7 linked regions of the Nothobranchius furzeri genome follow. The protein of the gene in region 7 interacts with the protein of the main gene of each other region in a pairwise test. Links are inferred from orthologs where the notes say so. Each region holds a gene or a part of one and is shown on either strand. Other genes may lie near its edges. The genes, in order: stx11a, leng1, atf2, KAT8 regulatory NSL complex subunit 1, zgpat, CAP-Gly domain-containing linker protein 4 and kifc3.

Evidence for each region.
Region 1: the proteins of kifc3 (region 7) and stx11a interact in binary tests that used the Homo sapiens proteins (3 or more experiments, as listed by UniProt). The link is inferred for Nothobranchius furzeri from reciprocal best matches to the Homo sapiens genes KIFC3 and STX11.
Region 2: the proteins of kifc3 (region 7) and leng1 interact in binary tests that used the Homo sapiens proteins (3 or more experiments, as listed by UniProt). The two-hybrid records come from large-scale screens. The link is inferred for Nothobranchius furzeri from reciprocal best matches to the Homo sapiens genes KIFC3 and LENG1.
Region 3: the proteins of kifc3 (region 7) and atf2 interact in binary tests that used the Homo sapiens proteins (3 or more experiments, as listed by UniProt). The two-hybrid records come from large-scale screens. The link is inferred for Nothobranchius furzeri from reciprocal best matches to the Homo sapiens genes KIFC3 and ATF2.
Region 4: the proteins of kifc3 (region 7) and KAT8 regulatory NSL complex subunit 1 interact in binary tests that used the Homo sapiens proteins (3 or more experiments, as listed by UniProt). The two-hybrid records come from large-scale screens. The link is inferred for Nothobranchius furzeri from reciprocal best matches to the Homo sapiens genes KIFC3 and KANSL1.
Region 5: the proteins of kifc3 (region 7) and zgpat interact in binary tests that used the Homo sapiens proteins (3 or more experiments, as listed by UniProt). The two-hybrid records come from large-scale screens. The link is inferred for Nothobranchius furzeri from reciprocal best matches to the Homo sapiens genes KIFC3 and ZGPAT.
Region 6: the proteins of kifc3 (region 7) and CAP-Gly domain-containing linker protein 4 interact in binary tests that used the Homo sapiens proteins (3 or more experiments, as listed by UniProt). The two-hybrid records come from large-scale screens. The link is inferred for Nothobranchius furzeri from reciprocal best matches to the Homo sapiens genes KIFC3 and CLIP4.

What each region holds. Positions count from the first base shown.
Region 1 is NC_091758.1:20,330,248-20,334,336, reverse strand, and holds stx11a (syntaxin-11a), read right to left. Parts: upstream 2,801-4,089; 5' UTR 2,666-2,800; intron 1,548-2,665; 5' UTR 1,543-1,547; coding exon 673-1,542; 3' UTR 296-672; downstream 1-295. UniProt on the Homo sapiens protein: SNARE that acts to regulate protein transport between late endosomes and the trans-Golgi network.
Region 2 is NC_091745.1:76,666,511-76,670,727, forward strand, and holds the start of leng1 (leukocyte receptor cluster member 1), read right to left. Parts: upstream 2,801-4,217; 5' UTR 2,650-2,800; intron 2,459-2,649; 5' UTR 2,414-2,458; coding exon 2,282-2,413; intron 1,338-2,281; coding exon 1,155-1,337; intron 242-1,154; coding exon 1-241. Other genes in the region: voltage-gated chloride channel TMC4, read right to left, coding at 3,360-3,452, 3,546-3,624, 3,707-3,862, 3,985-4,115, 4,208-4,217.
Region 3 is NC_091754.1:21,239,882-21,244,044, reverse strand, and holds the start of atf2 (cyclic AMP-dependent transcription factor ATF-2), read left to right. Parts: upstream 1-1,363; 5' UTR 1,364-1,983; coding exon 1,984-2,123; exon of another isoform or gene 2,124-2,136; intron 2,137-2,157; exon of another isoform or gene 2,158-2,325; intron 2,326-2,705; coding exon 2,706-2,778; intron 2,779-4,163. Other genes in the region: atp5mc3a (ATP synthase membrane subunit c locus 3a), read left to right, coding at 232-306, 572-762, 847-961. UniProt on the Homo sapiens protein: Transcriptional activator which regulates the transcription of various genes, including those involved in anti-apoptosis, cell growth, and DNA damage response.
Region 4 is NC_091756.1:53,988,067-53,992,155, forward strand, and holds the start of KAT8 regulatory NSL complex subunit 1, read right to left. Parts: upstream 2,801-4,089; 5' UTR 2,754-2,800; intron 962-2,753; 5' UTR 890-961; intron 1-889. UniProt on the Homo sapiens protein: Non-catalytic component of the NSL histone acetyltransferase complex, a multiprotein complex that mediates histone H4 acetylation at 'Lys-5'- and 'Lys-8' (H4K5ac and H4K8ac) at transcription start sites and promotes transcription initiation.
Region 5 is NC_091755.1:51,598,479-51,602,580, forward strand, and holds the start of zgpat (zinc finger CCCH-type with G patch domain-containing protein), read right to left. Parts: upstream 2,801-4,102; 5' UTR 2,631-2,800; intron 2,341-2,630; 5' UTR 2,303-2,340; coding exon 1,716-2,302; intron 254-1,715; coding exon 120-253; intron 14-119; coding exon 1-13. UniProt on the Homo sapiens protein: Transcription repressor that specifically binds the 5'-GGAG[GA]A[GA]A-3' consensus sequence. Represses transcription by recruiting the chromatin multiprotein complex NuRD to target promoters.
Region 6 is NC_091758.1:40,981,747-40,985,246, reverse strand, and holds part of CAP-Gly domain-containing linker protein 4, read right to left. Parts: intron 3,018-3,500; coding exon 2,832-3,017; intron 2,759-2,831; coding exon 2,624-2,758; intron 1,410-2,623; coding exon 1,286-1,409; intron 1-1,285.
Region 7 is NC_091749.1:65,948,340-65,951,839, forward strand, and holds part of kifc3 (kinesin-like protein KIFC3), read left to right. Parts: intron 1-564; coding exon 565-794; intron 795-864; coding exon 865-1,008; intron 1,009-2,195; coding exon 2,196-2,325; intron 2,326-2,405; coding exon 2,406-2,566; intron 2,567-3,500. UniProt on the Homo sapiens protein: Minus-end microtubule-dependent motor protein. Involved in apically targeted transport. Required for zonula adherens maintenance.

The sequences.
Region 1 (4,089 bases), on a different chromosome or scaffold from region 7:
CCCTAATCTGAGAAAAAATCCAGATTACCAAAGAACTCTGGTACCAACAGGAAGTCCCCTGCTCTGGCTCTGAGTGTTTGTACTGACACTGATTCAGGTACACGCCTGAGAGAAAAGCTTGTGTGGATGTAACATGACACCAATCAGACTCCAGACGCTGGAGCTAATCTCATATGAAGCAACAAAAGCTCCGGCATAAAGCTGGAGCAAAACGAGGCTTGTTGTTCAACACGAACGCAGCTTATCTCCCAGCTAACCACTAATATTTGTGTTTCTACACACTTGTTGGCCAACAGCTGCAGCAACGTCAGCTCCAGCTTTTGTTTTTTTTTCTCCCATTTTAATGGTCGCCGTTTCATTCCAAAGCAGTAATTTAGAAATAAATCAAGTTTTACTGAATGAAACATGCATTACCCGACATAAAAAGCTGCAATGACATATCTTTGATGAGACGTGGAGTCATGTGGGTGCTGCAGAAAGTAATAATCAGTTACGATCAGGAAATGCAACAACTCGATTACAACTGAATGCATTTGTATGTGAACAGCGCGGTTTGAAATGACTCTTCCTCCTTCTCAGACCAGCACAGTACGTGAAAATGAAGTGAGATGTCTGACGCTGACCCCGTAAAAGGAAAATTATAAAGAGTTCCAGTTTAAATCTGACCAAGAATCATTTACAGCACGGGAAGCAGCAGCAGAAGAGTTTCTTGCATGGGTTGTTTTCACTGTATTCTTTAGCCTGTGTGATTTGAACCGTTGCCTTGGCAACGTAGTCCTGAGTAGAGCAGACGTTTGCTTCTATGTTGTCCAGCATGCAGCCCTGCTCCTCCACCAGCTGAGCCATCTGGGAGAAGAGCTCGTGGATGTCTCTGATGCGACCCTCCAGCTCCAGCAGCTCCTTGTGTCTGCTCTCTATCTCGCTCAGAGCAGATCTGGTAGTCCTCCCCTCCAAAAGGAGATTATCCGAGAAGACGTTCCACTTCCCGCTCTCGATCATCTCGTCCAGCTGCTCCCTGGTCACCTCCTTGCCCATGATCTCCGCCTGCCTCTGAATGCGGGTCTTACAGTTTTCCCTCTGGATCATTTCGGCCTCGTTGTACTCAGACATGGCCTCGTGGAAGGCCCGAGTCAGAGAAGTGTACTGTGAGCGCACCATACGAGACAGAGCCGACGTGAAGCCGTGTTCCTCTCCAAGCTTTTTGCTCAGCTTTCCAAGCTTCTCCAGCTGGGCGTAGATGGCCTCCCCCCTGGCTTTGATGTCCCGGCCGAGCGCGTTAGAGTCCCGCTTGATGCTGCTAAACCTCCTGACGGACGTGAGGAACCGCGTGTTCTGCTTCGCCAGACGCTTCACGTCAATTTTCAGCAGCTGCAGCTCCTTCCTCATCATCTGGGCATCTTTGTAGATGCCGTCCATCACATCTTCACCTTGAAACACGATGGCCAGTGACTCTGCGACCTCCTCATCCTCAAAGACTGTGTTAAGCTCCTCCTCAGCAGGCTCCGGGGTGACGGTTTTCAGCTCAGATAGTCGGTCCTTCATTTCACCTGCAGCAAGAGTCAGTTCGATCTGTTATTTTCTAAAATATATGAAATGTTCCGTCGCTCTGAGATGAGCGGAAGCTGGACATATCTCCAAAAGACAAAGATCTTTGAGGCCCAGTTTGCAGTTTTGTCTTCTGAGTAACTTAAGAGACGAGGAGAGTAATAGAGTACAATAAAAACAAGATCTGCTTTCAGACTGACTCCAGATATCTGACACAACACTCTTTTAAGCAGCATCTTAGGAGGTTCCTCAGGTTGTCAGGAAATAATAACGCTGCAGAAAAGAGGAACAGTGCTGATCATCATGTGGCCATGATTATCAACACGAGACGGGCTTTTAAGCTTCCTCGAAATTATGTAAGATCTTCAAAGTGATCCGAGAAATGTGGTAACATTTAGTCTTATTTGGTGCATTAAACCAGAGGTGGCCTTCGGACAACAAGCTGGACCAGAGCCCTCCTAGAAAACACAGATCCTAATTAAACTCTTATAAGCTGCTATGACACATTTAGAATCAGCTTTTTGCTGCTGTTACTCACTGGCTGTGACGTAATATGGACCATTTTATTTTTGGAAACAATAAAAGTGGGGCAATCATTCAAAAATGTCTCATTTTTATCTTTATGCATTTTGGACTCGACCAAATTCTTCCTGGTTACAGAAATGATGATCAACCATATAAACACACCTAATTAAAAACCATTCAACTCTTATTATACTTATCTCGTCATAAAGCTGCTACTGCTCTCACTTTAATTAGTTTTGATTGAGTTGCGATAAGATAAAATAGGTGTGGACGCTTCTCTGGTTATGAATGAATAATTAAATAAATAAATAAACTGATGGTTTAGAAATAATTTCAGGCGGTAATGTCTACAAAAGGAAACTGCTCTGTTACTTCCTCAGATTGTGACGCTTTCAGCTGCTAGTTAGTCTCATCTGTCCTCCACATGCTACTCACATTGTGTAGCTACTTCAAACTATTTCAAGTATTTATGAACAAAACAGAAACGAATAAGCATCTAGTGATCTGATGGGAGGAGGTAAACGAAGAAACTAAGAGGAGTCTTGTAAACTACGCCAGGTTACTTGAGGCGATAAAACCAGAGAAGTAAACGTACCTTATGGCGGTGCCCTCCTAAAGAGAACTCTCCTTAGAAACAGAAGAAAAGAAAGACCCGTTTCCTCTTTGTGTCTCGGTTACATTTAGACATTTCACCAACATCAACCACAGTCTGAGTAAAGAGGTGTGAGTGTCACCAGCCTCCTGACGCCGCGAGACCAACTACGCGGAAGATCAAACCCTGCTTTGAGTTCAGGAAGAACTTCCATCAAAGGGGTCCGAATGGAAGTTCTTCCTGAACTCAAAGCTTTTACTTAAAATGTATTGTGAATAAGGGTGATTTAGAAATGTTAAAATGACGTTACGTAATTATAATTGATTGCATATATCATTTTTCTGAATAAACAAATTCATCAAATTAAATCAGCTGTTGTGATTTACTCAGATTTTCAGTAGCTTTTTAGCATGCGTTTTTTATTAGTATTTGTTTTTATTTTATTTATTTGAGTATTTCATACATTCATTGTGAAATCCAAAGACGTAATGCTTTTCCTGTTTGAAACAAAAAAAGGACCTTAAAAAATCTATGTATCAATGTTTGAGTGTTTATTAGATGCAATTGGGTGCTTATTGTTCTGTTGAACTCATAACCAATATTTTTATATCTGACATGTTTGATTAGTTTGGTAAAATTTCGTAACTGTTTTACATTGCCAAAAAACAAACCCTTCTGCCGTGTAGTTTCGCCCTGTGGCCGCCAGAGGGCGGTAGATCTGCTCTATTTGCTGTGCTGTGGCTAGCTGCTTTTAGCTCCTGCTGCAGCTCCTTGATTTAATCGAGTTGAACACAGATAACTAAAATTGATTTATTGCGTTTTAGTAGTTTATATAAGTGAAGACGCTCTGGCTTTCCTGTAAATTGGACTAAACGCTGTATTGAACGCTGCAGTACCCACTTGTTTCCAGCAGAGGACAGAAAATCTTTACTCTCCACAACCAAATAAAACAACAAATCCCACCTCTTCTGGATCTGTTCACATGCTACAACGTTTTGGAAAGACTTTAGCAGATTTATTATCGGACAGCTCTGCAAGGACTTCGTTTTAAAATGGGAAAATGCTGTATTTTTTTCGCAAGCAGAGAAAGGAAGATGTATACTTTGTTATAAATTTGTTAATCTAGCTAAATTCTATCTCCACAAATGCAAGTATAGTAACCAAAAACCTAATTTCAAGCACTATTATAGTGACACTCTATCTTGCATAAAATTGATTAGTGGATCACTAAACAAAAAAGCTTTAAAAACTATAACTATTTGCACCACCTGTAATTTATTTGGATGTGTGTAACATTTCTGTAGTGCACCCCCTGGCATATGTTTCATCTTCTTTGTTCAATTTTGTATGCAATTTGTTTGTATACTTATCACCTTGTTCAATAAAGTTTTGAAGAAAAAAAAGAAAAGAAAAAAAAACAAATCCCT
Region 2 (4,217 bases), on a different chromosome or scaffold from region 7:
TCCTGTTTTTAGGTACTTTTCGTTCAAACACGTCTAGAGCTTTCTTCATTTCGTTCAGGGGATCCAAACTACTCTTCAGCCTCCGATCCTTCTTCTCTTTCTCCTCTTCACTTATTCCCTTCTTTTTGTCTTTCTCTTGACTTTCTTTGTCTTTGCTGCTCTTCAGGTACCACGGAGTCACCTCAGAGCCTGGCTGGGGTCCTAAAGACACCAGTAGGCCGATGGCGCGTTCCTGCTTCTCCTGGATGAGAAGATGCAGATTATATTTAAACAAAGGGGTTTTTGAAAACAGGGTATCTGCAGGTTTAAGGGAGACAAATTTAAGACTTTTTAAGACCTTTTTTAAGGCCACTTTGACCAAATTTAAGCTATTTAAGCAAGGCAGCGGTAGCTCAACAGGTTGAGCGGGTTGTCCAGTAATCGGAAGGTTGCAGGTTCGATCCTGGCTCCGGACAGAGAATTCTGCTGTTGTGTCCTTGGGCAAGACTCTTAACCCACCTTGCCTGCTGGTGGTGGTCGGAGGGACCGGTGGCGCCTGTGCTCGGCAGCCTCGCCTCTACATCGTAGCTCATCACCACCAGTGTGTGAATGTGTGTGTGAATGGATCAATGATACACTGTGGTGTAAAGCGCTTTGGAGTCCTTCCTCTGACAGGCGCTATACAAGTGCGGGTCATTTATCATTTAAGCTATAATTTCCAGCTATTGCCTGGAACCGGTGCTAACCACGCCGCGATCATGGGATTAGCCATCCAGTTACCATTAAACTTGCCCTTCCCCATGGCGCAAGCTCCCACTAGCTTAACCAGCTAACGTGCTCATCTAAAAATAGCCCCCTTTCACAACCAACTGAACGTGTACGGTTCCGCTTACGGCAACATCGTACACAAAAATGCTGAACGCTAACTAGAAATTCATGAAAATTTTATAGAAATAAAAGAATCTTGTTTATTGGGTCTTTGGTAATTTAAGACCTCTGGAAACTGTATTTAAGGATTATTTGTCATTTTTAAGGATTTTTAAGGCCTTAAATTTGGAAAAGCTAATTTAAGACTTTTTAAGGACCCGCGGATACCCTGGAAAAGGTGTTACTGAAGCAAATATAAAACCCCAAAAAATAAATAATCCACACATGTATTAAGGTTTTTCTGTCACCTTTTCCTCTTTCTTTTCTTTAAGATACTCCTCGTTCCCCTTCTTCTCTGAAGACTCCTCCAAAGGGAAGAGGTTGAGGTGCTCCAAGCCTCCTCCACCTTCCTTTTCATCATCATCATCTCTGCTTCCTCCTTCTGACTGAAGAGCAGCTCGAGATTTCCTTCTCAGATACTCTGTACGCGCCTGTAGAAACAAAAAGCTGTTAGAATAAACTAAAGATATAAATAATAAATAGTTATTTTGGATTGTAAGCAAATGCAGCTGAAGACATAGGACCTAACTGAGCTTTTGCAACAAGCTGAAAGCAACTAAATCCTAAATAGCACTGTGTAAAGCAGATTATTTGCTAAATTATACAACTTTGAATTATGTGTATCGTCTGGGACATTTGACAGTGGTACTATTGTTGTGGCTCTTTATTGTAATAAAGTTACTCATGATAAAGTGCTCTTGCCTCATATGTGCACGCAGCGGTTTAGATAGAATCAACGAGGAGAGAGAACGTGACGAAGCTCAGAATGTTTTCAGTTTTTCTTATTACTGAAATCATTGCTGCGGTTTTAATCTACATGTGGCATTCAGATTGTTTAACATCTATAACCTTAACATTTCTACACTTTTCCAAACTCCAAACATCCACCTGACCTTCGTGTGACTGGTTCTTTTGTCTTTCTCCCCAAAAGACATTTATTTCTGTATTTATTTAGTTTTAAATGGTCAGGATTAAAATCTGTGAAACTCTTTTGTTTACTTTTGATCATTTTTCCAGAACTAATTTCTTAAATATTTCAATTAAAGTGCCAGGTACCCTGTACATTCGGCTGATTTGTGGTTTTTCTATGCGTTACAGTTGTGTTGCACTCAAATACATTTTCCACAGTAGTAATGATACTTATATCGCTTATTAAGAAGAAGAAGAAAATATAATTTCTATAGTGCCTCTAAAGATAAAAATCACGAGGCACTTCACAAAAACAAAAATGTAAAAAAATAAAAAAGCATTTAGAAAATGTTTAAAAATATATTTAAAATGAGCAAAAATAGACAATTGTGATTCAAAAAAAATGTTAAGAAAGAGAGAGAGTGAAGACTAATGAATGACCATGCTAACACCAGAGGGGGACTACCTCTTGCTCTGCTCGCTCCACGCGACGCTTGGCCTCGCGCTCCTCTTCTGCTGCCTGGGCTTCATCCCTCCGCACGCGCGCAATGTTGTCCTTGTTGCGGACGTGCCAACTCTTCTTCGGGAGGATGTTCATGGTTGCCTTGGTGACCGACAATTAGCAGTCAGCTAGCTTAGAAAGCTAACGACAAGAGAAAACACTCACTCTGGTCAGTTAATATATTGGTGTATAGTAGAAATAAGCAGGTTATTCGACAAAATGTCTAAATACAGAAGCAGAATTTTTCAAATACGCCCAACAATCAAATATGCGTCGCTGTTTTCTTTCTTTTTAGGAAATTAAGCTAAATAGGGAAGGTCGCTAGTACTTGCCAATGTTTTGTGATGACGCAGAAGAAAATAACGTGGACCTTACTCACTCACATTATCTATTTAAGTTGACTACTTTCCTAAAATATAATAAATGCTATCAATGACGAGCTAACGGAGGAGTAGCTTCTGGTTTGTTGCGCTCACAGGAAGTAGTAGAGTTAAACAGGAAGTAAACAATAATCGTGTTATGTAATTACAATATGTAACACCAGGGGGCGCTGAAACTCTACTGGTATTTGTACAGGTGCCACAAAAATATTTACCGGTATGTCCCAAATATATATATTTTTTGCTATAACCAAAAGATGTCAAAAACAATGTACTCATTATGAAAGGACAAAAAGGTAAAGTATATGTTGGCTTTGGAATGTAGCATTTTGTGAAATGCATGCTCTTTCTTGTTAGCATTTTTGGTGATTCTGCACCCGAGGTTGTTTTATACAAAAGAAAAATAGCCTCTCAAAATCATAAATAAATTCTGTGCATGTTTATTAATTCAACACTAATGTTTAGAACAACAATCAAAATTATACTGACTTTAAATAACAAATTCTCTTATTGTTTCAGCTTCACAACAGAAACGCTGTAAATGAATATAGTAATTGTCAAATGAGATCTAGTCTGGATTAATGAGATTTCTCCCCCCCAGAAGACATATTAGTTACTTCATTATTTAGGTCAGAAAAACTAAACGTGGTCATCGGTTGTGTTCAGTCTTGTACTTCTGCTCTTAGTGCTGGCATCAGATGTTGCAGCTTTAGTCTTTCAATCTGTTTGACCAAAAACTGCTTATCTTGACCCTCCTGAAAATCAAAGACATGACATTGGACAATATTAGCTACCACTGAGGATATTATACAAATGATCCTTGATCTTTGTAAGTAGGAACAACATACCAACTTAAGCTGAGCTTTGAGCATCTCAACACTTTTTCCATAGATGGAAGCTAATGCTACAAAATAGCACATAATCACGCTGGCAGAGAGGAAAAAAGGCACTGTGATAATCTGTAGATTAAATCTAATAAATAATAAATATTTCACAAATGCACACTCACCATGATAAAGCAAAAAGAGGTATGGAAAATGCCTGTGAGCCAATGAAGAAGAGAAAATCCTGTGTAACTTTAGAGAGACAGTAGAAAGAGTTTGGAACAATCTTCCACATGGAGGGGAAGAAGCGGAAAGGCCCACACGCCATCGAAGGGTTGATCCTGTTTGGAGAGGTGGAAAGAATCCTTCTTAAAGTGTTTAGTGATGCCCTGACTGTTCTGACTTTCTAAAACGCTGTTTTGTTGGAAATATTAAGGATAAATCTGCAGCAGTCAGCACTCACACAGCAAGGCTGTAAATCATAACAACCAGGGCCAACGTCCAGCCAAACAGAAGCACCACCAGGAAAAAGAAGGTGGAGGTGGTGGACCGAAACGTCTTCAGCGCTGGCCGACAGTTGTGGAAGAGTGTGATCTGTGGACACGCAAACACAATATCATCACTAATACAAATAATTATAATGTATGTGAGAGGGAAAAAAACAAGTTTTATGTTAAATTCTTCACCTTCTTGCAG
Region 3 (4,163 bases), on a different chromosome or scaffold from region 7:
TGACTGCTTCCAAGGTCATGTTAACCAGTGGCAGACATAAGAGTATGAGACCCTGCAATCAGCATGCGGCCCATCTATCAATATTGTGCAATTTCTGACTAATTTACACAGTTTTCTATGTCGGTGTGTGCTTAAAGTGTTCTTGAGTGGCACTTAAAATACACACCCTTCTATGTGAAGCTTGATCCAAGCAATGCTAAGTGTTTAATCTTGTGTCCATTGTTAATGCAGGTCCGTGCTGGTTCCCGGGCTCTTTACAGACCCCTGTCAGCTTCTGTGCTGTCCAGGCCTGAAGCTAAAACAGAGGTATGAAAGCATGTTTTCCACACCCTCATTATTTTTTTTGAAACCACAGCATTGCAATTGAAGTTTATATTTTATCGGCACTGTGTCTGAAGCCCTAATGGACAGGGTTTTAACTAGAAAGCCTTAGTAACTTGTAATAACTTTGTCTGAGGACTAGCTCTTATGTATTCAAAGATTTAGTTTCTAATTGTCACATTTGGTTCTTGTGATGTTAAAGTTTTTATTCTTCTTTTTTTTTTTTTTTTTTTTTTTTTTTTTGCTGCAGAGCTCTGTTTCTGTGATGCCACCAAGTCCCCTCACTCAGGTCACACTGAGAGGCTTCCAGACCAGCGCCATCAGCAGGGACATTGACACTGCTGCCAAGTTCATTGGTGCTGGAGCTGCCACGGTTGGAGTCGCTGGGTCCGGTGCTGGAATTGGGACTGTGTTCGGTAGTCTCATCATTGGTTATGCCAGGTTTGTTTGAATTATTTCAAATATTTATTGTTAAAACAATTTTACAATTTCTGTTTGGATTCACCAACAATTTCTTGTTCTCAGGAACCCATCACTGAAGCAGCAGCTCTTCTCCTATGCCATCCTGGGATTTGCCCTGTCTGAAGCTATGGGACTCTTCTGTTTGATGGTTGCTTTCCTTATCCTGTTTGCTATGTAAAACTGCCCCACAACACTTTAATTACAGATGTGACTACATATTTTATTGTGGCTACCAAAATTGTTCCTTGTTGGTGTCATAGAAATGTACATTTTTCAAGTCTCTCAGACACTGTCAAAAACAGCAAAACATGTATTGTACAAATGTAACATCTTACGTGAATAAAATACATGTTTTTGACTATTCAAGATTGCAGAAGCTTGTGTCCAAAACATCACCCAACACAACAGGAAGGGGTTGACTTTCATGAATGTCATCTTTTCAGTGAATCAGCCTTGTTTTCTGAGCTTTTTGGGGTCCACGTGAATTATTTTGTCATTAAGCTGCAGTTAAATAGGTGTGTAATTGTGCAGCAAGTGAGATCTAACGGCATGGTAATGGCACTGAATAAATCCAAATGATTTACTTGTGTTAAATGTTTGTTTTTTTTCCCCACAGGAAGAATTAAGTAATTGGCCAATACTTTAAATGAAAGCTTTGGCTGTCAGATCTTTTAAATTTTATCATTGTATGCAAAACTTAAAGGCTTCCTTTCATTTTTTTGACAGAATAGAATTATGTTGGGTTAAAGATGAGTGGCACATGAATATTTTAAATTGACCTTTAGACAGGTGCAATTTAAACACTGACTTCAAAAGAATCACTTTAAAGAATGTCTGCCTTTATTCTTCAAACAGATCTGTCTGCAGCTGGTAAGTTGATGACTGCCTGGTACAGAATCACAAGGGATCTCAAGTGGGTGGATTGCCTAGCAATCATTGCTACAAACAAATTGAAGCGTTTCTGTAACATTAAATACATCTAAATTGTAAGAGCTTATACATCACTCCTAGCATTTGATTTTTTTAAAGTTTACATTTGTGTGAAGAAGGCAGTCTGCTTGAATATGCAAATTATGTGTGCTAAGCGCTTTAAGACTATATTAGTTTTTGTTTTCCTCTAAAAACAATTGAGTTACGTTATGTTAGAATAGTTTATAACATTGGTCCGTAATTTATTTTCTCATACTTTTTTTGACTCCAATGAATTATCCCCAATCGTTTGTGGATGTGGCATTTAACGAATATCTGTTATCGCGATACTTGGGGAAAAAAACGTGGGATTTTGGAAATCAAGGGTTGTGGCTAAGGGGTAGGTGTCAACTCAAACCGCTAGCGACTGTGTACGAATCTTTGGTAAATATACCTAATTTGTGGCAATGTGAGCTGTTTCTGTTTGGTGTAACAAAACAGGAGCCGAAATAGTAGTTGACAGCTCTTTTGTTTACAGCGTTACGTGCGTGTTCAAATATGGCGACGGTTATGTTAACGCAAGGCTCAGGCTAATTCATGGAAGCGACTGGATTGTAGCTCATCCTTTTAGCTGTAAATATATTCTTTAGTTGTTTTGTGATATATGTAAAAATAGACATGCGGTTCTCTTAAAACATATCTCCGTGCTTTGTCTGGAGCAGTGTATCTAAACGTTTTTTATAAGAGCACCGAGGTGTAAACAACTACAGAAACCGCCCCTTATCGATGGTCTTTGTCCAAAACGTTCACCTGACCCCAGCTGGAGTTTTAACTTTTATCATAACTAAACCAGCATGTGTTTACATATTATCATCTCTGAATCGGAGTAGAAATATTTATTATAGGAAGAGTTGCTCTGCATCTTCATAGATCATCAGTTCATTAAAAAAAAATATATATATATATATATAATGCAGATGTTCAGGTTAAAAGTGTTTTTTGTATTATTTTAGGGAGAAGTTACAGGAACTCCTTAATATGAGTGATGACAAACCCTTCCAATGCACTGCTCCTGGGTGTGGACAGGTAAGCAATCCGATTTTGAGAACTTCTTTGAAATTAAACTGATAAAAGACTCTTTGAAGCATCATTGTTCAAGGTTATTTCGCAAAATATGACTTAAGTTTGATGTAAGAGTTTTATCTAATTGATTCATGACTCAATGCATAAAAGCTTTACCAAAACACTTGTCAAAAAAAAAAAACTTCCATTCTTATATCCTCAAAATCTGACAAAATTGTTAAAATGATCGTGGGCACTGAAATAGCCATCACAGCAGTATATGTATGATCATTTGAACATGCAGCCATGTTGTTAGGTTTATATTAAACTTATAGCTTTTTGTCGTTCATCAGAGGGTGAATTTTGAGAGCAGGTGTGTGTGGTTGTGTGTATCTCCAGAAGCTATTTCTTTTACTAAAGAAATGTTAAAGTGAAATGTGAACATCAGTTTGTTTACATGGAAAACATACCCTCATAACCCAAACAATAGTGTGAATAGAATATATAGTAAAATAACTCTGGTAATAGTCATGTGTAACATCATCACCTATAACCTTTTATTTTTACCCATGTGTGATTGCAGAATGGAGTGTATGCAGACAAATTTCATTTTTTAAATAATAATCATTCAATTTCCATTCATTCTTAATTAAAATGTAATCCAAACAAGCTGATCTGAGTGCCCCAGTAACATATAATACAAATAAATAATTTCACTTAAATTAGGAACATTTCACTTGCTGCAGCCCCAAACGCACATTCCTTCTGCTCCACGTAAACCTGAACTGGTCACCTGCAGCTTGTGCGTAATCCAATATCTGCATGATGCTTGCTGAAGAGGTTATGAGGTTCTGGACGTTTGCCTCAGACTCGTGGCTGTTTAAATGTTGTTCTGGATTAATCCTCACTATGCTGACACACTTGAAGCGGGTGCTGAATAACGAGCACTACTTAAGCCACAGTTTTAAAATGAGGAAACATTTCTCCAAATAAAATAACCAGAAGTCTACCTGACTATGAAAGATAGAAGGGCTTCCACTTGACAGTGCGCTCTTGCGCACAATGTCGAGTGCGTCACAGACGCTCTCCCAGCTCCTCTTCAGCGTGCCGCTTGCGGACACTGTCAGCAGCGAGAGGCGGAGAAGGTGAAAGATAATGCTCAGATGTTTTGTTGATGGAGATCTTTTCTTTTTTTTATCTCCGCGATGTTCTCTGTGCGTAACGTGTAAAATATCTGTCATTAACAAACTTACGCTTGGTCAAACAAATAAATGAACAAATTGCTTCTTATAAAAACAACCATAACAGCTCAGCCCGTCGCCGATGGTCGAATAATTCATCCCATCGCTGAACCCTAATGGTCGGCAAATTGAAAAATCTAATTGCTAGCCTTTATATGAGCTACAGTG
Region 4 (4,089 bases), on a different chromosome or scaffold from region 7:
ATGGTGATATTCTAATGAGTGGATTAATCAGGATTATAAGCACTTCACTTGAGTCTCCTTCCCTCAGGAGACGGGACAAGACGGATCCAGGTCTCTGATGTGACCCTAAACAGGATCCAGATCAACCACCACCACAGCTGCAGTCTGACCACATGAAGGAGAGCTACAGCACATGGTACCAATCATTAAACATCAAACCTGCAGCTCAATTAACCTCTCAGACTGGTACTATTTATGGAAAATATAAGCTAGAACACATTGTTTACTCACACGATACCTGGAATAAATACATGGAACTAAAGCTTTTGTTCAAGTGTTTATCTTGTTTTTAAAAAAACGGCAGTTCATCACTTCCTGTGTTGAAGGTTCGTCTAAGGAAGGAGATGATTCAGTTGCCTGTCAACATGTCTTCTTAAAATGTGAGAAAATAAATCGCATGGGAAAGGTCTGAGTAGGAACAAGCGCTATCGTCTGATGGTAGAAGTGATGCTAGTTACATCACAGGGAAAAAGCTACAAATGTGTGCTAGGACGTCTCAGGTATTCAGACAGCTGAAATGACTTAATGACGTTTAACTCCACCCATCCAGCTTTGTGTCTGCTTCCAGAGTGTTCCATGTGTTACTCCTGATGGAACCCAAGGTGTTCCCCAAACTTCCTGTGGTTTAGTTTTCCATCTGAGCTGCCTTAAATCTCTCCAAACGGATATCAGTTTAATAGCTTGAATCAATGAGACAACGGTGTACTGGGTTCTGGAGGCCCAGAGAGGTTATTTTGGCCACATCTTCTCCACAATGTCCGCAGGAATTCAGGGACGGCAACTGGAGAAGACGATCCTTGACCTCAGGTAAAAATAAGAGGGCTAAAACATTAATGCACTCAAGGAATACCTTTAGCTCCATTGATGAAATGCTCCACTTGGTAGTCCAATACGCCATGAATCCAGATACAACACAAAAATCCTAAAAAAAATAAATAAATAAAAAAGTTAGTAAAACAGATAATCAAAAACATCTTATTTCATAATAATTAATAATAGTAATAAATAATAAAGGTAAAGACAAGCCTTCACAGCGGTCACAATCTACTGTCTCCAGGAAATATTCCAAACTAAGCTTCTTGATGACAAATTAAACCGAGTTAAAAATGCTTTGGCACAACTCAAAGGCCCTGAAATAAACCACCAGGCTGTACCGACCACAGCAGACACCTTCATTAGTTTTATAGCAAATAGTTAAGGATGTTGTCTGGCGTGTTACACCTAACTAAACCAACAGTTCTGAGTTCACTGGCCCCAGGTTGGGAACAACTGACTTGTTGTATTTGTTCCTCAAGAGAGGAATTATTTCACCAACATAAAAGGAAAGTTATAAACTACATGTTTAGGACTATCATTTTTAAATCAGTCATTCAGTGATTCATTCATTTAAACCATTTCATTATTATTATTATTATATGTGTAATTTAAAATAGGAAAAAAAGCCTTTGATTCAACATGATCAAAAATAGAGAAGCTGCATAAATACCTAAGTTGGTGAAGGCAGAACATACACAGTTTAATATTTTTTATCCTGGTTTTGACCGAATTTCCACGATTTCCAACCTGACCACTAGATGTCAGCACCTGCTCCAGTGCTCAATCAAGACTCACATCAATTCTGCTACTGTAAAAGTAGAATTTGTAATTAAAACGCGTTCTTAAACACGTAAATAATAATGATGAACGCCAGATGCAGCAAATGTGTTAGGAAATGACAGAGAAATAACTTCCACAACAACCAGTGGAGCTCTGATTACTGTGTCAGTTTTGTATCTGAATCTGAGCTGTTTTTGCAGTTGAAACTGAATCTGAACATGTTTTTAGTCGTTTTCGGCTCCCTGTTTCAGTCTGAACCTAAAACTGTTGTTGTTCGTTTGCTTTACTTGTTTCTCTCAGACCCAGTCTGAATGTGTTCGTTACAGCGCCCCCTGTGGGATCACGGTGTAACACCAGCGTTGGTTGCTTTCATAGACAGTGGTGGTAAATCAATTTTTTATAACTTACATCAACTAAAAAAATTTACAATTAAATTAGTGCAACAGTACAGTTTACTCTATGTCTTGTATTGTGGTTATTTATTTAATGTTATGGTCCAATAAATTTTTGGTTTAGTTTATTTTTTAATGTTTCATTAAACTGAACGAAATGATGCACGGTGATTAATTTTAAACATTTCATTTATGAATAATTATTCACGTGGCCAACTAATGGTTAAAGTTGTGACTTTACATCAGAAGCTTCCAGCACAGGTAACTTTTAAACTGTTGTTGAGTATTCCGATATTTTCAGCTGACGAGCTAAAGCTAGCGAGCTAACCACATTAACGTTACAAATTTATGAAAACTAAAAGTTTTACATGCTGACCAACACCAACACAGAGGGTGGAAATATGATGGTAATATGTCAAGAAATGTATCTTTAAAGAGTAGAGAGTAACGGAACGAATTACCTGTGATTTTTGATGATACATTTAAGCTCAGTCAAAAAGACTATGAAAAGCTAACGTTACAGATGCTAATACGCGTTAGCTTGTTTGCTTCCCGATGTACCAGAATTCTCAATGACTGCAATTTAATTTATACGTTTAACATAAAATTCAACAGTAAAAAATAATCAAACTTAAATAAAACAACCGCGCGTTTAACTAGAAGAGAGTTTTTCCTGACAAGCAAACTGTTCGTTGTTTTTAAAAAAATAACGAGTATCTTACTTACCTGCTTGTCCTGTTACAAACCACCAATAAGCCCCGCCTTCTGCGCTGCGATTGGTTGACGGTTTATTTTCAGACTTTCTATTGGTTCCGGCAGCTGTCAGTCTTAGCAAATGCCCGTACAGCGGAAATGTATATGAAAGTTCATATCACGAAACTTAATTGTCTAAAATTGTTTTAATTTAAGAATTACAGCCCGAGTCTCACAACTCCCGTGTCTTTACCGGCCGACTGCTTTTCATTTGCCCTGGTCACTGTGTTGTTCCATCGCAGACATGCTAGCTGCTCCCAGCCCAGCTGATGTTTTCACTCAGAACTACACTCTTCGTTGTGTTGCTGTTTTAGAGACTTGGCTCAGAATTGGGCTCAAGGCTTCATATCAGATAAACAGAGACCACGCTTTTCGCAACTCACGAGTTTAATCAACACGTTTCGTTTCATCCAGTTCATCGCATCTTAGCCCATCGTCCTGCTGGGCTGAGATTCGGCCGGTCTGGGAGCTGTCCCCCTAAAGCAGGCCACGAGACACAAATGGCACCAGTTGTTCACTGGAGGACAGTTTTGGCTAAATGTTGTCCTGCACACGTTAAACCAAGAGCCAGAGGATGGACAGGAACTCATCAGACCTGCAGTGGTACTTCTGGGGAAGACCAGAACTAACTTAGTTATGAAGTCTGCTGGCTTGTTTACAAAATTACAATGAATGGAACACGAACTTAAGTCAAAACAACAAACATTGATGATGATAATGATGATGATTATTACCGTATTAATATTATTATTATTGGTTTATGACACAGTACCTGAAGGTCTAAAAACTGAGGGAGGAACAGTTCTGAAACTTAATGAATCTCACCTGCAGGTGAAGGATACCTGGAGGTAAAAAAAACATTGACATTGGAAGGAATATTGTAGCTGATCTCCAAAGGAACTTTCATTATTCTGGATTTGGTTTCAACAGACCTGTAACAATTTCTTTCTAAAGGTGGAAACTACTGGTTTTGGTCTAAGTCCTGGAGCTGTGGAACAAGTGGTACAAATGCCAAAATCCTTGTGGAAACTGGGTTACTGAACACAGAAATAAATAAACTTCTTTCATGATTTTATTTAAACATGCATAAAACCATTTTAAACAGCAGTCTCAGCTGCTCACACTAGCGTAGTTCAAGATCAAACAAAAATAACAAATTGATAACAAACACTGCAATGCTTCTGAAGAAGTTTCTTGTGACCTGGAGGAAACGATCTTCTCTAGAGTCAGTGATGAGACCTCCATAGTTTCTCATGACAAAAACTCAAGATAGGACAAAATCACCTTCCTTCTCATCAGCGTCTACATC
Region 5 (4,102 bases), on a different chromosome or scaffold from region 7:
CCACTGTCAAGTTCTAAGATGAGAGAAAACGGAAATAATAATTTCAAATGTATAATTATTGTGATCAAACTACATTTAGATGACATTTAACAAATTAAAACAAAATGTGATTGAGAGACCTTTTATTTTGGCGGGGTACCAGATACCATCCTCGTGCCGAGCCAAGCAGGACGAACCCTCTTCGAGGTTACCAAGGTCGCACTCCAAGAAGTCTCTGAGCTCCGACACAAACACCACTTCACCGTGAGAAAACCTGCAAAAGTGAGACGAGTTTCTGTAAGAAAACCATTCAGTTATTTATCACAACTTTCCTCTGACTGATAATAAAATCCCATTCGGAGCGATTCGGTTTTATCCGGGTAAAACAAAAGAATAACAACAAATGTAAAGGTGCAGAAGATTTTTTTTCTAAATAAAAGATGCTAAAATGATGAGAAGATTTTAAAAAATACACACATTGAACATTATTTTCTAAACTTGTGTGTGAATGTCCTTTACATTAATGTGACAAAACACAAATAATAAAAAAGCAACAGATGTTTGGTTTCTGCTTCCGGCTCTCGGAGGGTGCAGACGCTTTTCTTCTCCTCTCCTCCGTATCTTATCCTCAAAGCCTTTGTCTGTCCGCGTGTGCTGGGTGCACGGCTGCTTCTGCATTATTTTCTGGAAACTGAAATTCACTAAAATGGATCTCGTCAGCTGGTCTCTCAACGCGGTTGATACAATTTTTTCAACGACGAGAACGGGAGAAGGGACTCCCGGATGCCCCTCCGGGACAGACCAGCTGTCTGTGGAGGACTCTGAAGACGTGTGGATATTCGTGGTGTTGGTGTCAGGTTTCCTGCTCATTGGCCTTGGAGGCTACTTGGCTTACCGGAAAATTAACGAGCTGTCGAGGAATATTGGCCTGATCCCGGAGCTCAGAGATGGTTTGCACCGCAGTGAATTCAGACTCAAATAATTGTCGAGATGAATCGTAAGCTTGGGACTTTGGCGGAGATTCATTCTTTGGCACAAAAGATGGATGCCATCAAGGAGAGAGTGGACGAATCAGCACGGATTGGGATAGATTAACGTCCATTATTGGGATTCTGAGAGGTTGAGGACCAACAAATTGTAAGACAGAGAGGAAATTATCTCTGTCTGGCCCCAAAACAATTTCTAATCGGAATCTGGTGTCCTTGAGCCTGCAAGGCTCCACGAAAACTCCCCCCCCCCCCTCAGAAGATATGTGGAATGTGCCGTCGCTATGGCAACTCTACTCTGTCTCCTATCCCAGCCTGGGCGGGACAGCGGGAAGGCCGCTGAAACGTTCCAGGGTCACTGCAACCCTCCAACCCTCCAACCCTCAATGCTTCCCCCCCACCCCCCCCCCCCCCCCATCCACACTGAGGTGACATGCGCTGCTTATCGTGGCTGCAGGAAATGAAGTGGAGATAGTCCCAACCCACCACCCCACCTAGTGGACACTTATGTTGTGTTGTCTGAAGTCTGTTGCATATATGTTTGAGGGCAGCTCTGAAGTGCCTTTTTTTTCCTCCACCTGAACCAATCCTCATGTAACCCTCTTATCTCTGTTAACTCAGGGTTGCGAATGACCACAGTCACCAATTCTTGTCATGTCTCTTGCCCGTGTATGTCTGATCTCTGAATTGTGTGTACTGAAACTCTAATTTCCCTCTGGGATTAATAAAGCATCTTTGATTTGATTTTACCTGCAGTTATCCAGAAAGCGACATTTGTCTTCCAGGTAGAACGGACAGGGCTTCATAGATTTTTGGGTGGGGTAGATGTAGAGCACCCTGACTTGTGCCTCCTCTCCATCAGCAGCCGGTTCTGCCCCCACCACCATGGCATTGTGATACTCCAGCGTCCCCCATGTTGTCCTGTAAGGCGCCCTTACTTTGGTACCACTAAGATCATCTTCCTCCTCATCTTCCTCCTCATAATACACGCTCCCACTGTCCTTATCCTTCTCTCTGGTATCAGAGCTGCTGCCAGAACTTTCTCCTAGTTCAGAGTAAAACGCAGCAAATTCAGCATCAAAGACACCGGAATCAGCCGCTGCCTCTGAGGTGTTCATCTGAGGTCCGTTGCTGTCTTCTAGGCTGGACAGTAGCCGGCTTTTCTGTACAGATAAAAGGCTGGCTTCTGTTAGCGCTATCAGCTGGCAGAGGTCTTCTTTGAGCTTGAGCAGGTCTGGCTGCTGGCTGGGGTCCAGGCCAGCTGACAGGGCCATCTCCACCTGCTGCAGCTGGGCCCCATAGGCAGCGATGGCAGCCTCCAGGCTTTCTTCATCCATGCTGACAGCTTGGCACGAGCTGGGACAGCATCAACCGCCTCCAACAAGAGATGAAGAAGATGAACAAAAGGTGCAGAGGAACTACAGTGTCATTACATGTTTATACATTAATAGTACAAACAGATCAAAGACTACACTTCCAGATATTTGATGGATTACACAGAAAGAACAAGAATTTCAGACGTTTTCTCTGTGTGAAGCATATATTTATATTTAAATGAATGAGGCTCTTCATAGTAACCTCCCCATCCATCCTGCTAGCATGGGTTGTTTTAGCTGCTAGCCGTGTTTCCATAAACTCTGGTGAATATAAAGGTCGTGTCATTACCTCAGTGATTACTCGAGCTCTCTGACATCCACTGCAGCAATAAACGAGGTCACGTCTGCGGAAATCCTTGTTTTATTCATGTCAAAAAAGAAGCAAGTTGACACAAAACACAGCAGAATGACGTCAAAGCGGCAAACGCGAACAACAAGAGCACTTCCGGTAAAAATGTTTTCCTTTCAAAATAAAGTAGAAACAACTGTGGTCAGTCAGCAAGGTTAAAATAGTTTCTACATTCATCAGAGGTGTCAAAAACAATCACATTCGTTACTAATGAAGAATAGATAATAGGGTTTAACAAGAATTACGTTTTATCTAAAGCATCTTTCAAGGAACTCAAGGTCACTTTACAACAAAAATAATAGAAATCAAGTTAAAAACAAGCTAAACAAATCACTCATTAAATCCCCAGAAATTACAGAGCCAAAAGTCAGAAAGCAAAACAATAAAACTAACTCATAAATAGTATGCTGTCTTGGAGAGTTTAGATTTGAAAATGGAGAGGGGGTCAGAAATGCAGAAGTCTCACTTCAAGCATTTTACTCAAGTAAAAGCACTGGTTGCAAAACAGCTTAAAGTATAAAGTGAACACGTAATGTAAGTTAAAAAAAATGCCATTAAGGACAACAAAGACGCGCACATTACCACACCTTTTATAAAACAGGCCATTACTGACCATAATGATGGTATTTAATATAAAATGTCAAAAATTGACAAATTTGAGATACACTGGGCCTGTTTCAGCTGCATATATCCATCCATCCATCCATCTATTTTCATCCGCTTATCCAGAGTTGGGTCGCAGGGGCAGTAGCCTAAGGCAAGAGGCCCAGACTTCCCTCTCCCCAGCCACTTGGGCCAGCTCCTCCGAGGGGAATCCCAAGGTGTTCCCTGGCCAGGTGAGAGCCATAGTCCCTCCACCGTGTCCTGGGTCTACCTTTAGGTCTCCTCCCGGTTGGACGTGCCCGGAAAACCTCACCAGGGAGATGTCCAGGAGGCATCCTGACCAGATGACTGAGCCACCTCAACTGGCTCCTCTCAATGTGGAAGAGCAGCGGCTCTACTCCGAGCTCCTCCCGAATGACTGATCTTCTCACCCTATCTCTAAGGGAGAGCCCAGCCACTTTTCTGAGAAAACTCATTTCGGCCGCTTGGATCCGCGATCTCGTTTTATCGGTCACTACCCAAAGCTCACGACCATAGTTGAGGGTAGGAACGTAGATTGACCGGTAAATCGAGAGCTTTGCTTTCTGACTCGGCTCTCTCTTCACCACGACAGACCGGTACAACGCCCGCATCACTGCAGATGCAGCACCAATCCGCCTATCGATCTCACGCTCCAGTTTTCCCTCACTCATGAACAAGACCCCGAGATACTTCCACTTGGGGCAGGACCTCGTCCCTGACCCGGAGAAGGCATTCTACCCTTTTCCGAATCAAGACCATGGTCTCAGATTTAGAGGAGCTGATTCTCA
Region 6 (3,500 bases), on a different chromosome or scaffold from region 7:
AACTTATGTGGTTTTGTCCTTCTCTACTGAGACGTTTGTGTTTATTAGATTTCCTACAAAGAAAGACAACAGATGATCTGGTTTATCCTTCAGAGTGAAATCGTGTTTTATCCTGTTCAGCAGATAAAGAAACCAGAACCTACAGATAAAAGACATCCCCTCTGTCCTGTTTTTAGAGTCAACCAATCACAGAGAAGTCCTTTTTGTGACTTAGGGGGCCTCCCGCCAGCAGGAAATTCCTGAAAACCCTCAGCTGGCTCTTCTCGTCGTGAGGGAGCAGCGGCTCTACTCAAGTCTCTCGGATCTCCGAGCTCCGCACCCCGTCTCTGACCTCGACCACCCGACGGAGGAAACTTATCAGCCGCTTGTATTCATGATGTGGATCGTTCAGTCAAGCCCAAAGCTCTCAACCAGATGTGAAATTAGGAACTAAGATTTCCCAGTAAACTGAGATCTTTGCTTTCGGGCTTAGCTCCCTTTCTTCACCACATCAGACCGGCGTCTCCCTGATCCGCCTGTTGATTTCACTCCCTCCTTCCCCCGTGAACAAGACCCTGAGGTGCTTTACCTCCTCCACGTCACTGACCCCGAGTTGGCTATCCTCCCTTTTCCGGTCGAGAATCGTGGCACGGAAATATGACGTGCTAATCCTCATCCCATCCACTCCATGGTTGGGTGTGAACTTCTCTTAAGTTGAAAGTCACAGTTTGACGGCGCTAAGATGACATCATCCACAAAAAGCAAAGACGAGGTCCTACTGCCACTAAACAAACTGACCTCATCTGACCAGGGTGTTAAAAATACAGCCGAGAAGATGTATGCATAAAGAAACAAGCAGAGCTCCAAGTACTGATCCCTGTGGTACCCCGCAAGAGACCTAAGCTCAGGAGGATCTGAACAACTGAAACTATATAAGTCTAAGATAACCCAGACCACATGATCCTCTAAATCTGTGACCAGGAGGATGTCAAGAACAAACCTGCGCACTAATCTGGATTAGAATAACTTCATCCGTGCATCATTTTATCCAAACATCTTCCCTGACACATTTTATTGGCAGCCTGCTGTGTACATATTGATCTTCCATTATTTTCATTGAAAGCAGAAGTTTTAGCATCTGGCTCATTACAAAGTGTCACATTAAGCGGAGGAGACGTGCTGAGGGAACGCCCCAAAGCGTCCCGTCTCATAACTCCGGTTATCAGCAGACAGACATGTCAGTCGTCACAGAAACCCAGCCGTAAGAATTCACTTCAATGTTTCTTCTAAAAGAGTCAACCCTCACCTTTGAACTCTCGACGGGGGGGCAAAGACGCCATGTTTGGGAGGGCAGCTGAAGTATCTCACACCTCCAACAGACCCGTCGTTTTTACCACTCGGCTTGTCCAGTTCAACTCCCAACCAGACTCCTGCACAAACAAGTTCAGCAGCTTCAGACTCAGTAGCTCCAAGGCTCCTCCAGGAGGCTGACGACTCCAGGAGCTCCAAGAGTCCTTCAAAGGGCTTCAAGAGTCCTCCCGTAGCTCTAAAACTTTTTCAAGAGGTCCAAGAGTCCTCCAGGATCTCTAAATGTCCTTAGAGAGGCTCCAAGAGTCATCCAGGAGGTCAAAGAGTCCTTCAAGGGGCTCCAAGACTCCTCCAAGAGGTTGAAGAGTCCTTCAAGGGGCTCCAAGAGTCCTTCAATGGGATTCAAGAGTCCTCCAGGAGGTCTAAAACTCCCCCAGAAGCTACAAGAGTCCTTCAAGGGGCTCCAAGGCTCCTCTAAGGGGCTCCAAGACTCCTCCAGGAGCTCCAAGAGTCCTTCAAGGGGCTCCAAGAGTCCTCCAGGAGGTCGAAGAGTCCTTCAAGAGGCTCCAAGACTCCTCCAGGAGCTCCAAGAGTCCTCCAGGAGCTCAAAGAGTCCTTAAAGGGGCCCCAAGACTCCTCCAGGGCCTCAAGAAGTCCTCCAGGAGCTCAAAGACTCCTTCAAGGGGGTCCAAGAGTCTCCTAGAGGGCTTCAGGACTCCTCCTGGAGCTCCAAAGCTTTTCCAGGAGGTCCAAGACTTCTCCAGGATCTCCAAGAGTCCTTAAAGGGAATCCAAGAGTCCTTCAAGGGGCTCCAAGACTCCTCCAGGAGGTCTAAAACTCCCCCAGCTCAAAGAGTCCTTCATGGGGCTCCAAGACTCCTCTAAGGGGCTCCAAGAGTTCTCCAGGAGCTCCAAGACTCTTCAAGGGGGTACACGACTCCCCTAGAGGGCTTCAAGACTCCTCCCAGAGCTCCAAAACTTTTTCAGGAGGTCTAAGACTTCCCCAAGGAGCTCCAAGAGTCCTTCAAGAGGCTACAAGTCTCTATACTTTTAATTTGGATGTGATAAAACAAAATGAACCACCTCTGCTAGATTATAATTTGTGATTTAAACAGGTCAGATTTAGTATATGTGGGGGAAAAAAGAAAAAACATCTGTTTAACTATTTAGTAACATCCATTTGTTTCTGTCAAATGATAAAAGTCCTAAGGGAGTTTTTTTTTTCTTCGGTTTTAGCCGAGTGAGTCTAGGAGTATTTTGTCCAGCTGTGATTCACTGATAACAAATAAACCTTCACATTTTATTTCATCTGCAGAATCATAAACTGTAGAACTGACCAGGAGCAAAGTTGGTGTTCCCACAGAACTGAACCACTCCGGTTCTCTCTCCCGCCACCAGCACTCTCTCCCCCAGCCGGACCTCAGAACCGTCAAACACCGAGCTGCTCCCCGACGGGGTTCTACTCCTGAAACCTGCGAGGAGAGAGGAATCAGAGACTTTATCTAGATCATCGACGTGACGAATCAGAGCTGGACTCAGCAGCACCTGCAGCCGTGGGGCGAGACGAGGAGCGCAGCACCGGTGACGGGGTTGTCCTGGGATTAGGAGAAATATTCTCCCTGCGCTGCCTGGTGGAGAGACGCTGCCTCGGTAGAGGGCGGGGTCGGGCGCCCCGGCCATGCTGAGAGTCCAGTGAAGACGACGAAGAGGACAGGGAGCGGGAGAGGACACCTGTGGACGTAGAGGCTCAGACTGAATTCCTACAGAGACACCTGAAAGTGAACAAAACTCAACAGCTACTAGCATCAGCCAGAGGTCCGACACATTAAGCCCTCCCCTCCAACAGAATGGGAGAAAAGATGGAGAAAGACGACGAATTCCCTCTTAAGCCATCAGGTGCAGGACCTCATTAAGCCTTTACCTTCCACAGACCTTCACAGGCCTTTAGCAGCAACGCTCTGAGGCTAATCGATCAGGTCTGCACCAAAGTGCTTCAACAGGAAGAGATTCAGTTACAAACTAAAGTGAGGCGTTGAGGGGGAGAAGCTCACAAATCACGTCTAAACAGCATCTAGAACATAGACCTAAGCAGGAAAGAAGCTGCAGTTATGAGTTTGCTCTGACTGGTCTTAGCACGGTTTCAAAGTCAACCGGAGACTCGTTTCTGTGGCTCGTGACCGATCGGTATAGTGCGGCTCGCCAGGCTGCTGCAGG
Region 7 (3,500 bases):
ACCTTTGGGGATTCTCCTACATCAGCATGGTGTGAAATTCCATCTATATGCTGACAACTGTCAGATGTATCTCCTCCTTTGGCGGGGAACTGGTGGATCAATTTCTACGAAGGCCAATCTGTTTCAAAATGCACAAACTTTTACCTGTTGTGTGTGTTTGTACAACATGATGTGCAACATGACCATCAAACATGAAACACTTCTCAACCTTTTTTTTTTTTTTTTTTTTGACTGGGAGAACGTGTCGGGATTTGTGTGTTACACAGCACAGAGTTCTTAAAGTTGTGAAAGCAAACATGGCTGGAATCTCACAGTATTCACTCACGGTGGTGACAGAGGAGTCTAGTGCCCATCTTGGAACTGGAGGGTTGCTGGGTTGAGCCCCACTCTGTCTGTCACAGTCGTGTCTTTAAGCACCACCTGGTGGTGGTCAGAGGGACCGGTGGCGCCAGTGTTTGGCAGCCTCACATCCATCAGTGCGTCCTTTCATTTCTAAAGCCTTGTGAGATGAACTTGAATTAAAAGGTTTGGATGTGAGACCTGATTTCCTGTGTTCTGGTCTAGGAAAGCTTAACCTGGTGGATCTGGCAGGCTCTGAGCGGATCGGGAAGTCTGGAGCAGAGGGCAGTCGGCTCAGAGAGGCTCAGTGCATCAACAAGTCGCTTTCTGCTCTCGGTGATGTCATCAGCGCGCTACGAGGAAAATACTCCCACGTTCCCTTCAGGAACTCCCGCCTCACCTACCTGCTGCAGGACTCTCTGAGCGGTGACAGCAAAACTCTGATGATGGTCCAGGTGAGACCTGGTGAAGTCCAGAAACTAGTCTTTGTTCCTTCCTGCTGTCTCATGCCTGCCATTCCTGCAGGTTTCTCCGTTGCCTGGCAACATGAGTGAGTCGGTGTGCTCGCTGAAGTTTGCTCAGCGTGTTCGCAGCGTCGAGCTAAACTCTTCCTCTAGGCGGCACGAGAACTCGTCCACCTCTTCCTCACCCACTCACAACAGTGTGGAGGTAACTCTAAGCTCCGCCCAGCTGGTCAGGGCTGAGACGTTCACATTTTTTTGGTATCTTCAAAATAAAAGTAGACTAAACAGTGTGAAGTCTTATATTACAGTCAGATGCACGACGGTTTTAATAAATCTGCTGTAATGGAGCCATACGTGAGGCTCCTGGGCTGGACACTAACCCAGGTCTAGGAGGTGGCCAAGCTTGCTCTCCATCTACATTTTGATGCCTGTTGATAAGACCTTGTCGTAGAAGATTCAGTCCAAAATAGTGCTGAACAATTTTAAGAAAAGGATTAAATAGAGATTTTTTAGCTGCATGTTTATGCGATTTTGTCCTGCCGTTACCCAAATTCATGGCCTTGGGTGAAGGTTGGGATAAAGGTCGTCCAGTACCGTATTTTCCGGAGTATAAGTCGCACCAGCCATAAAATGTATAATGAGGAAGAAAAAAAAACATATATGTCGCATTTTGGGGGGAAATTTTATTATTTTTCTTACGAAATCTGAGACCAAGCGTTTCACATCGCAAGACAGGTACCGGTAACAATAACAGAATAAACAATCAGGGCGCAGCAGCGCGCCACGGTCTCCAGCAGAGGATGGCGGTGTTTCAAACCCTCCCAGCGGGGCAGGGGAGCTGAAACCTGGACCGGAGCCGGACCGGAGCAGCGCGGTATACACTGATGTATAGTATAAGTCGCAGGACCAGCCAGACTATGGAAAAAGTGTGACTTATAGTCCGGAAAATACGGTAAGTTAAGAGCCTGGCTGTTTGGCTCGGCTCCTCTTCACACCTACAGACGAGTTCAGCCTGTCCAATTCCCGTTTACTCAGTCGTGAACAAGACCCAGAGATACTTAAGCTCCTCCACTTGTGGTAGAGTCTCTTGTCCGACCTGAAGCTGGCCATTCACCCTTTTCCAACGAGACAAAGACCATGTTCATTATTGCTCTAAAGGGTTCCCGTTGACTGAAACTGCAGATGTGTATTTTCATCCCAAGAACCAGAGCAGGGTTAGGGAACAGGTTCCTGCTGCTCTTCTCTAATCTGTGAGTCTGGATTAGCCATCGTGTTTTCATTTAACTGAGGGCTACAGCCATTAACAACATTTACATTCATATAAAAATAAACTTTGGATATTTGATTCCCCGTCAGATCACTTGTGCTATTTGACCTCTGACCTCTCACCAGCTGGACTCTCCCCCTGTGACGCCGGTCCCCCTCCCCATTTCTAGGGCCAGCAGTGCTGGGTCCACACTGTCTTCCACCTCCAGAACTCCCAGCAGCTCCCGCAGGAGGTCCCAGTCCCAGCTGTCCACAGGTACACACACACACACACACACACACACATTCCCCTACACACACACACACAGACATAAAGGTTTACGCTTTGTTCCTCAGCAGCAGCAGTGCATTCTGGGAGACGAAGCTGTCCAGCTGATGGAGTCCCGCTGTCAGTCTGTCCATCTTCCTCTGTGTCCTCCTCATTCTGTGCTCTGATTGGTTGCTTTTCAGACAGACAGGTTGACGGAAGCAGCCCGTTGTTGGGGGACGGTGGGCAGGTAGGTGAGGGTCTGTGTGCTGATTGGACCGTTTGGCATGAACGCTCAGCATGGCATGCCCCGCCCGCCACCTCCCCTCGTGTTTGTGTGCCTGTAGGCCTGTGGCAGGGCCCACTGAACCCTTGGGTCCAGACGACCTCAGGTTCTGGCCCTTATGAGCGCTGAAACACCTGGAGGTTGTTTAGAGCTCATGTTGTTCCCCCTACCCTTCCCACCACCTGCTGAGGATTATGGGATGGTTGTTTTTATTTTAGCTCTTGGTCTTAAAACACACGAGCTGCAAATGTATTTATTGGTTACTATGGTAACAGTGCTCGTGTTGGCAGAAATTAGGAGGTTAAAGATGAACATGAGCTGCAGGTGGATTCACTTCCTGTTTGGTTAGGGTAAATACCAGCTGTACGCTGCAGGTTTGAGCCTAATGGCTTCCTGTAGCCGAGGGCGCTGCAGATGTTAGTTAAACCTGGACTGAAGGATCTGGCGGAACAACTGAGTCTGCGGTCTGGTTCAGCTGTGGTTCTGATTAATGTTCTCAAAACGTCCACTGGGCTGCTGATTTCAGCTCCGGGCTGGTCCTAGCCAGAGTTCTGGTGACTGTGCTTTAAGGATCTGTGTTCTTCATAGTTTTATCTGGGAATCCCTGGGCTGAGACATTAGATCCCCCCCCCCCCCCCCAACCTATCCTAGGCCCGGGACAGACCTGTTTGTCCCTCCTCCTCATGAGCAGGCCTGCTCCTGCCTCCAGACTCCTGACCAATCAGCAGACTGAACCTTCTCACCTGCTTTTAGTTCAGCGTTTTGTGTGAAAAGTTGAACCTGAAACAAGCTGCAAGATCAAACTGATCAGCTGATTTTGACCAGAACCCCCTGCTGGCTGTGATGTCATGTGTTTGGTCATGTGACTACAGCAAGTGGACGGACTGACTAAAGGTGT